Coturnix japonica: one gene and its partner. The protein of the gene in region 2 purifies or fractionates together with the protein of the main gene of each other region. This does not show direct contact. Links are inferred from orthologs where the notes say so. Each region holds a gene or a part of one and is shown on either strand. Other genes may lie near its edges.

Region 1 (4,474 bases), on a different chromosome or scaffold from region 2:
TGGCTGCAGGAGGACAAGATTTGCTCTGCTCAAAGAAGAGGCGTATTGTCTCAGAAACATCTCCCTGTCTCCAAGAAGAAAACAAGGGTGTTGGTCAGAGCAAATGGGAAAGCTACTGCTGGAGATTCAACATGATTCCAGCAAGCACAGGACAGCACAGAAACAATGCTGCAACTGCATGAAGGAACTGCAGCCAAACATCAGAATAAAGCTGCCATGACACAGAATACATCTGCTCAGCCACTTCACTTGCAAAAATGCATGCAGAAGTACTACTATCATCTGACTGCTGTATTTTATTTATTACTGCTGCAGCATCCCAGGCCCCGTATTTCCCCAGGATTAATCCATTTGTAAATCCAAGAATCTCTGTCCAGTGGTGTCGTTAGAAGGCTCTATATATCAAGGTATATATCAAGACAACAAAGGTGAAGGAATTCACCCATTTTCTTTGTCTTGCTATGGAGTTGGATACATGCACAGTCAGCTACCAACTCCTGTGCACAAAGAAATTAAGAGAGATGCTTTTTGTACTCACCTGTTCCAGGTCCCGGACCATTTCTTCTTGGCTGCAGTTAAAAATCCTACTGAACAGCTTTACAATCTGCTTATCATTCAAGTTGTAAACAATTTTAATGATGCCTGGTAAGAGCAGCTTAATGGTCAGGTATACGTCGCCATGAAAACCATCTGGAAAAAAAGCACACACCATTAGAAACTGTCACCATTCATTTTCATTACAGGCTCAGGTTATTTGTACTCATTAACATGACTGAGGGGAAAAAAACCAACACAGCTGTGTCTTCCTTGTTCCACTGCACTGCTCTGCTACATGTCAAGGGACATTTTTCAGGGGATCCACAATTTCTCTCCAAATCTGATACCGGTGCTAATTTAGGGGGCATCTACAAACAACCACGGCAGTTCTGACCCAAGACATTCTAATCTGCATTTGTTCTTTAGATAGCAGTTCACTTTGCAGTCATTCTCAGTTCAGAAATCACTCTTTGCAGCCTGAAGAACAATCTGATTTTAATTCTCCCTTCCTTTTGCCATAATAACATGGAACTTTAATTTTGAGAGAGCATTCACATGCAGAAAAGGCAAAGCAGGAATCGTACCTCCTCCACTTCCCTTCTTCAGGAAGTCCTGGATGATCTGTGTTTTCACATTGTAACTAGGCTTGTCAGCCACCATAGCACAGAGCTTCCTGAACTCTCGCAGCAAACAGTCTTTGTGCTTGGGATCACAGTTCTTTGCAGACAGGCTGGAGTTGTGGGAAGAGTTTGCGGACACTTCTTCAGAATTCTTGGGCTTGGCTGAACGAAAGCCAACAGGTTGTTCTTTTAATAAGTACAGTACAGGCAGACTTTGAAGACGAGAACACATCTATTAGGTAATCTGAAGAGAACAAACCCACTGCGGTGACGAAGCTTCAGAACTGAATAATGATGTGCTACCCCAAAATCTGGGTCTAAATTTTAGTTACATTAAAAAATACATGTATTTTTTTTCCCCCCACTTATTTTGTTCAGGATTTTTCTCCCTTAACTCTACCAGACAAATACAGTTAAAGCCTCAATGAAAACAAACTCCTGCTGGCAGATGCTTCTATCTTATTTCTGCTTCATGCACCTTCACAGGAGCTCATTGTCCTAATAACACTGTTAAAGTGACAAGGAACAAAACAACAACTTGCTGCTATTGGAAGAGAAGGATTTCCCAGAATCATTTTAAGACTCACCTGTGAAGCCAGAGAACTTCTTCGGATTGGCATTAGCCAATGGGTCCTTCTGGGGGCTGGTTATTTGTCCTGTGGCTGTGAGCTTAGCCTGAACTGTTGCTTTTTTCTTCGGTGTACTCGCAGCTTTGGACGTAGCTTCTGTAAAGCAGCAAGTCAAGGGTTCAAACCAGCAGCCAGTCATAATCTACAGCAACCCTGAATGTATGTAAGATATATTGGAACAAGCAAGTTCTCAAACTGAGGATGGAGGGACATTTCTCATACAGTGAATGGCCCTGCCAGGCAGGGGGTTGGAACTACATGATCCTTGAGGTCCCTTCCAACCCGGTTCATTCTGTGATTCTGTAACGTTCTGGGCAGCCCACAGCAAAGGGCTGGAACCAAAGGGTCCCTCCCAAACCATTGTGCAACTACAAGGTGAATACACAGCTGTGCGGTGCCTGGTGTCCCACCTGCAGTCTCACCTGAGATGAGGTTGCTGATGAGCTCTTTCTCCCCATCCTGCAGCTCTTCCCACCCTTCCAAATCCGTGATATCTTCAATTTTCTTAGTGCTGGCCCGAGCTTTCTCCAACTTCTCAAACATACACTTGACGTGGTACCACTCCTTCATATCCCCACCAGACTCCGTGAAAGGGTTGGGAACGATCTTCCCTATACGCACCATCCCCTTCACTATCTTCTCCTTGCACTTCTTGCATCCGGCCGTGCCTCGTTTGGCGTAATCCACGCAGTATCTCTGCTCGGCCATATCCCCACTGCAGGCCCGGCCCAGCCCCGTGTGTGCGGACAGAGGGACGAGGAGCCGAGCAGCACCAACACAAGGATTGAAACTCACACAGCGCACAGCCCCGCAAAGCAGCAGCCGGTACCGAGAGCACGAGCGGAGTGTGGGCCAGCACAGCGACAGAACACGAACGGCACGACACAGAGCAGCCAGCATCCAGCCCGGCCTGGGCCCTGTGAGAGACAGAGCGGGGCAGAGCGGGGCTACCCGGCAGCTGGGCCGCGGAACAACGCCGCCATCACCGCCACAGCGCCCAGCACAACCCGCCCGGCTTTAGGCCTCACCCGCCGCCTCCAGGCCACCGTACAACAGTGCGCATGCGCACAGCACCGCGCCCCCCCCCCCCCTACCGGTATCCCGGAAGTGCCGTTCGAGCATGCGCTGTGAGCGTTGTGCTCCATTCCTGCCACTAGGCCCCGCCCCCTTCCTTGTTAGCCCCGCCCCCTGAGTCAGCCCCGCCCAATCGCTGCACGTGCTGCTGCCTCGCGCCGTTTCCCGCCTCTGGCAGTGTCGCGTGCTCCGGCGCGTGGCGCCGCTGAGGTGATACCGCACGGCCGCCATATTGTGCTGTGATGGTGGGGGTCTGACGGGCTGCTCGACCCCAAACGGGCACTTCAGGCTCCACAAAGTGCCCTCTGGGAGCACTGTGCTTTGCCCACCCAGGTCTGCGGTGTTGCTGAATCACTTGGGGGCTCTCATTGCCTTGCATTGTGTTGCTGTGGGCCTGAGGTGCTGCTCTGTGTCCGGCCCAATGGAGCCCTCACAGCCCCGAGGTGCTGCAGCATCACCTCATCACCTCAATGACTCAAGAAATGCTTGGATGTGGTGCTGAGGAATATGATTTAGCCTGGAAGTATTGGGAATGGTTGGGCTAGAAGATCTAGGTCTTTTCCAACCTTGATAATTCTGTGACTCTGGGATCCCTGACCTGCTGTGCTGTCACTCGGTGTGTCTGATGCAGTCTGTGAGATGGAGGGTTCTGAATTCACATCACCAGTCTTGTTAGTGCTGTACTGCAGCCCTCCAGCAAGGACAAGGTGAATTACAGCCATCTTCCTTGTTTTCTTAGAACGCTAATCTCCACCTACACAGAGTGGGCCATTTGGAGCTGTGAATGAGGATAAAACCTGGAAGAATTGGGATGATGTCCATTAGGTGAGCATTTCTTGCTAGTAAAATATGCCTGTAAAGCAGCAAGTTGGCATTAATTTGCGGTAATTCAGAGTGCAGGACTTTGCTCTCAGTGCATTGCATTCAGAAGAGAAATCAGCCTGTCCCTTGTGGTGCCAAAGTGGTGGGAGCCCTGAAATGGAAGAACTGAGCTCTCCAGGTGAACCCAGCACAGCTTTGAGGCCCTGATGATGAGCTGCAGCGGGTTCAGGGTGATGGGGGAGTCCTTTACAACTGCTGCTGGCTGTGCATGGAAGGCATCTATGTGGCACCATGGGATGCTGAACAGAACACTGTGTGTGAGAAGCAGCTCCAGGACCACATGTTTGACAGAGCAGGGCTAAAGGTAGGGAAGTTTAACATACTTCAATTTTTCATTGTTCCAATTACTTGATGAAAAGTTGCGCCGTCAAGAGATGATTTACAGATGCAATCATTGCCTTATCTGGTTGAAATTAGGCAGCTGAGCAACCTGCCGGTGGTTGGATTCGCTTCTGTTAACTTTCAGTGTCTAAAAGTCAGCAATGATCTAAAATAGGCTGCGTGTGATCGGTAGAGCAGCCTGCAGAGGGCATTGCGGAGGCTCGAGCTGGGTGAGATGAATTACTGCTGGCTCTTCTTGATCTTGCAGGGTTTTGGTGCCTCTTGGACAGGTGAGTGAAGGAGATGGATGCCCTGAATGGTGATGAAGGGCAGTGAGCACAGGCAGGTGGCACAATGCTGCAGGGACAAAGCGTGTGGCTTTCATATCCATTTCTTCATCGTGAAGCTGAC
Region 2 (4,486 bases):
GCGTTTTCAACAACACAAAGATGATGCAAATGAAGAATATTCAACGAGCAAATAGCAACTTCAATGAAGAGATTTTTAACAGGTTGCTCAATAATGGCTCTAACAGGCTCATAATGCCTCTAGCCTGTGCACTACATTTAGATTAGCTAGTTGTTGTTATTTTATCAATACAGTTTCCTCAAACTAAAGGCTTATCTGCTATCACACTGTTACCGTGAAACAAGCAATGCAACATAAGAAACATTATCAGAGAATAAACTGAGGACCCAAAGTTACACTCAATACTCACCTTCTAAAGTCTTAATTCCTTCCTCTACAAACTTCCTAGCGGCAGCAGGACTGCAAAAAAGGCAAGGCATCACGCAATTAGGAACAGCAGGAACCTTACAGCACTACAAAGGACATCACAGTTCACTCAAACTGCCCTGATTTTTCAAGGTTGAGATTACGGTTGCTTGCAGCGCTTATCATCCTTTTGTCATGCACATTTTAGCTTGTGTTTTCAAGCAACAGAGACAATTATCCAACTGCACATTTTTAGTATTGATGGAACTACATACTGATGTATGATTTTAAAAAGTAAACCAACACAATCTCACCAAACAGCCAGCACAGCTTTAGACAAATACTAGTATGGAACTGAAGGCACAAGGACTACATTCACTATTAACAGCCTCTGAATCAGCTTAAGGCAACAATGCAAGTGTCTTTAGACTACAACTTAAAAACAAACAAAAATCTACACAAGACTCTAGCTTGCAACCTACACTACAGAAAAGCAGCTTGGCTGAAGAGTTTATCATAAGCACAACATAAACACCCACAACCTTTCAGCAAATCTTTCTTCAGAATTACTGAAGCACCACTGCATCTCCTGCCTTCCACCTCAGGCAGTCTCAATATTGCTTCTCCTTCCCCACAGCATTCCACCCAGTTCTGTTTTTAAGCACCGATATTCTATATTTAGCCAATCCTGTTCTTGGCAAGCAGTATCACAGCCCTTCTCACTCAAGATATTGACTACTGCTGCTCTGCACATGCTAAATTAAGTGCCTGTCTGTAGACTGAGCTCTTTTTTTGCCAAAATTTCCCTACGCACAGTATGGGAACAAGAACAGGCCTGAGAACTCCTAATATAATCTTTCTGAAAAGTCCTGTTTTTGAGGGGTTGGCAGGGCTCTGGATCTCCTTTTACAAACATGGTACAAATACTATTCTCCCTAATCAGATTTTGCACCATAAGTCTCACAGGCTCCTACTATGTCTTCTTGATTTTACTTTTCTCAACCTTCCGATTCAGTTTCTGATCGCCTCCCTCCCTCCTTCCCCTCTCAGCTTGCACACAGGAGCTTTCTACTTCCACTCTTCTACTGCAAAACCTGTAACTGACAGCTCTACAACTCTGACAACAACCACTTCCCCCCTGCACTAACAGATAATAACCAAGCTTTACCCAATTCCAGTAACTCGTGTCAGGAAGTTGATGGAAGCACTTGTATCATCTTGTCGAATCTGCAAGAACATAATAATGTGAACAAGCTCTTCTTTACTCCATTTCAGTAGACAAAGAAAGCTTATAAAACAACTTGGTCAGATTCTGCTTTGGAGACCTACCGTAAATCAGAACAAAACAGTGTTAACAATAATACTATGCATTAGGATGGTGCCACAATGTACCATTCCTGCAAATTAATTGTCTTAACTGCCCATACTAAGGTAAACAGCGTGGTTAAAACTCAATTCCACAGCCTTCCAGAGCCTGCATTCCACTTCTTACAGAAGACATTCATGTGCCAATTGTACAATCTAAAATATAAGTAGACAGTTCAGAGGCTTTGCCTAAGCTTCTTGTTCCCCACTTTACTTTGCAGAGTGCTTGACATCAGTCCCTCCACAGAGAGGGACAGAAGCTGCACAAAAGCAGCAGACCAATTCCCAAAGAACAAAGTAAAACAACTGCTGAGAAATAAAGCACAAAGGAAAGAAACACACCTTTTCCAACTTGCGGAGCTTTCCAGTGGATAAAAACTCATCTATTTTCTCAGCTATTTTAGCACCTACTCCATCCTAAATGTTGAGGAAGGATGAAACACAAGTCAATTTCAAGGCCACATACAGCCATCACAGCTAAGAAAAATAAAGCTCAACAAAAAGCCGTGAAGTCACAGAAACCATTTTAAAACATTGTTCTATGAGAGATCGGGAGCACTGAAAGGTACAACACAAGCAGCACAAACTCAGCACTTCAAGTGCCGCATTACAAACTCGCTGAAAACAGTTATTTTAAACTGGGTTTTGATTCCTGCAACTCCAATTCCCCAAACTTGGTGAGACAGCAACACAGCAAAGCGGAAACCTGCCTTGCACAGAAGAGACCAGCTGGAGTCCCCAGCTCAAGTCTATGAGACCCCCACAGCTGATGCGCTCCGCTCCCCCCTTCCCTGAGCCGGCTGCCAGAAGCTGACGCAGGCAGAGCCGTTCGCACATCGCTTCCCTCCTCCTGGAAACCTCGGTACCGTCCTAACGCAACTCCTTCACCCCGAGAAGCCCAAATTCGCCCCGGGACCCACCAGCTTCTTCGCTTCGGCTCCGCTCTGGATCCTGCTGGGGTACCGGGAGATGGCGGAGGCCGCTTTCCTGCGGAACGGCATCGGTCAGAGCCCAGAGCCGCGCAGCGCTCAGCCCCCAGCACGGCTCGTGCAGCGAGGCCGGGCCAGACCCCCGAGAGCCGGGAGCGAGTTAAAGAAACGGGTCAGGCCTGAGGAAGGAGACGGTACCTGTACGCGTTGTACTTGTGGATGGCCCGGCTCACGTTGCGCTCGTAATTCGCGAGCTCTACGGGGAGAAACACAGTCGGACCAGTCGAGCCGAACCCCAGACCCGCCCCCCGCGCCCCCCATACCCATGAGGAAGTCCGTGATGCCCTGGTTCAGGCTCTCCTGCGGCGCTTTCCGTTTGCTCATGGCGGGCAGCAGGAGCGACTAACACCGGAAAAGCGGCCGGCAGCGCTTCCGGCGGTGACAGGGAAAGGCCGCGGTTCCGGCGGGGAGGAGCCGGGTTGGGTTCCGCGTTCCGCCGGCACAGCGCAGGCGCGGCCGGCAGAGGAGTGGTCCGGCCGGAGGGGAGGCCCAGGAGGCCCTGGAGGCCCCGGAGGTCCCGGAGGTCGGAACTCTGCTGCTGCTCGAGAATCAGCCGGGCATTTGTTGTGGTTCACTTCAGAACATAATGCGGAACTGTGGCAGTTGTAAAGCATTGTATTGAGGGCTGCGGACGTTATGTTCCTTGGGACACACTGGTTTCTTTTTAAGCTCCTCGTGTTCTATGTTGGAGTTGCACGTAGCTATAATCAGTGAAGGGTGCTGATGGAGATACCTGCCTGGTCCCTGTATATCCCAGCTAATTTAAACGGCAATATGGGGTTTGGACTGGTTTCCAAGTGCTCTTCCCAGTTCCTTATGCACGTTCAGGGTGCCAGCTTAGGTACTATGCTATCAGTCTGTCTGCATGTATGCTCTGCAAGAGTAATTTACGTTATGTAGAGGAAGCCTTCCCAAAAATCAGAGAATGGTGAGTGGCAGGAAATATGATGAGGTCTAGGAAAGAGGTTAGAAGCTTGGGGACCCCTAGTGTCATGGGATTTTACTCTTGAACACCTGTGGGACCCTGAGAAACTAAGTGAGTATCTGAGTAAGGGATGGTGCAGCTCAGAAAGATCTGAGGAGGAATGGCTTATTTGGGGCTTGGCTTGTGCTTACCGAGCTCTATATAACACTATTGTGGAGAGAGAGAGTTCCCAAACTGAGATCCAAACCAAAAGTTTGGATCAGTCCGAGTCAAAAGTCCGAGTCAATCTTGGTCACTCAAAGGAGGCACCAGTATCAGTGTCAGTTGCCCCTGTGGAAGGCCAGAAATGGAAATGGGTGTCTCACAAGGGTTCTCACAAGGGTTGTAATCATAACCTTGGACTATAATGGGGGAAAACATCCTGCCCTGCGCCTTTGTTGTGCCTCTCACTGTCCTTCATAGCACAGTGACTGTAGGCTCAGTCCTTCACAGCCCCAAAGGACCAGGATGAAGGAGCACATGACAGCCATGGCCAAAGTTTCACTCGCGGAGAATGAAATACCCAGGGGGAAAAAATGGGGAAAGCAATGCTTTTGTAGGGTTAATAGTAATTCTATGTGCTTCCCAGTTTCTGGTACAGAATTCATTATTAGTGATGATGATGATATCAAATGACATCTCTTTGGTTTTCCATGTGCACAGGCTGTCTGTTGTGTATGGCTGCCCAACTGACCAATGCAGTGATTACAAGTCGTGTGAAGGAGTTCATTCTCATCGGCCTCTCTGAGAGTCGAGGTGTGCAGGGGCTGTACTTTGTGATGTTTCTTTGCTTCTATGCAATGAACGTGGTGGGAAATCTGCTCATTATTGTCACCGTGATGAGCAGCCAACACCTGAACTCCCCCATGTACTTCTTCCTCTG

The links.
Region 1: the proteins of POLB (region 2) and LIG3 purify together in Homo sapiens (affinity purification with mass spectrometry; 3 studies listed by BioGRID and IntAct, counting the BioPlex papers as one, with this or other methods). This does not show direct contact. The link is inferred for Coturnix japonica from reciprocal best matches to the Homo sapiens genes POLB and LIG3.

Annotation. Positions count from the first base shown.
Region 1 is NC_029534.1:3,402,505-3,406,978, forward strand, and holds the start of LIG3 (DNA ligase 3), read right to left. Parts: upstream 2,842-4,474; 5' UTR 2,687-2,841; coding exon 2,209-2,686; intron 1,883-2,208; coding exon 1,745-1,882; intron 1,320-1,744; coding exon 1,122-1,319; intron 691-1,121; coding exon 539-690; intron 65-538; coding exon 1-64. UniProt on the Homo sapiens protein: Isoform 3 functions as a heterodimer with DNA-repair protein XRCC1 in the nucleus and can correct defective DNA strand-break repair and sister chromatid exchange following treatment with ionizing radiation and alkylating agents.
Region 2 is NC_029537.1:4,115,109-4,119,594, forward strand, and holds the start of POLB (DNA polymerase beta), read right to left. Parts: upstream 3,041-4,486; 5' UTR 2,964-3,040; coding exon 2,903-2,963; intron 2,836-2,902; coding exon 2,778-2,835; intron 2,638-2,777; coding exon 2,571-2,637; intron 2,068-2,570; coding exon 1,993-2,067; intron 1,513-1,992; coding exon 1,454-1,512; intron 340-1,453; coding exon 290-339; intron 1-289. Other genes in the region: olfactory receptor 4S2-like, read left to right, coding at 4,236-4,486.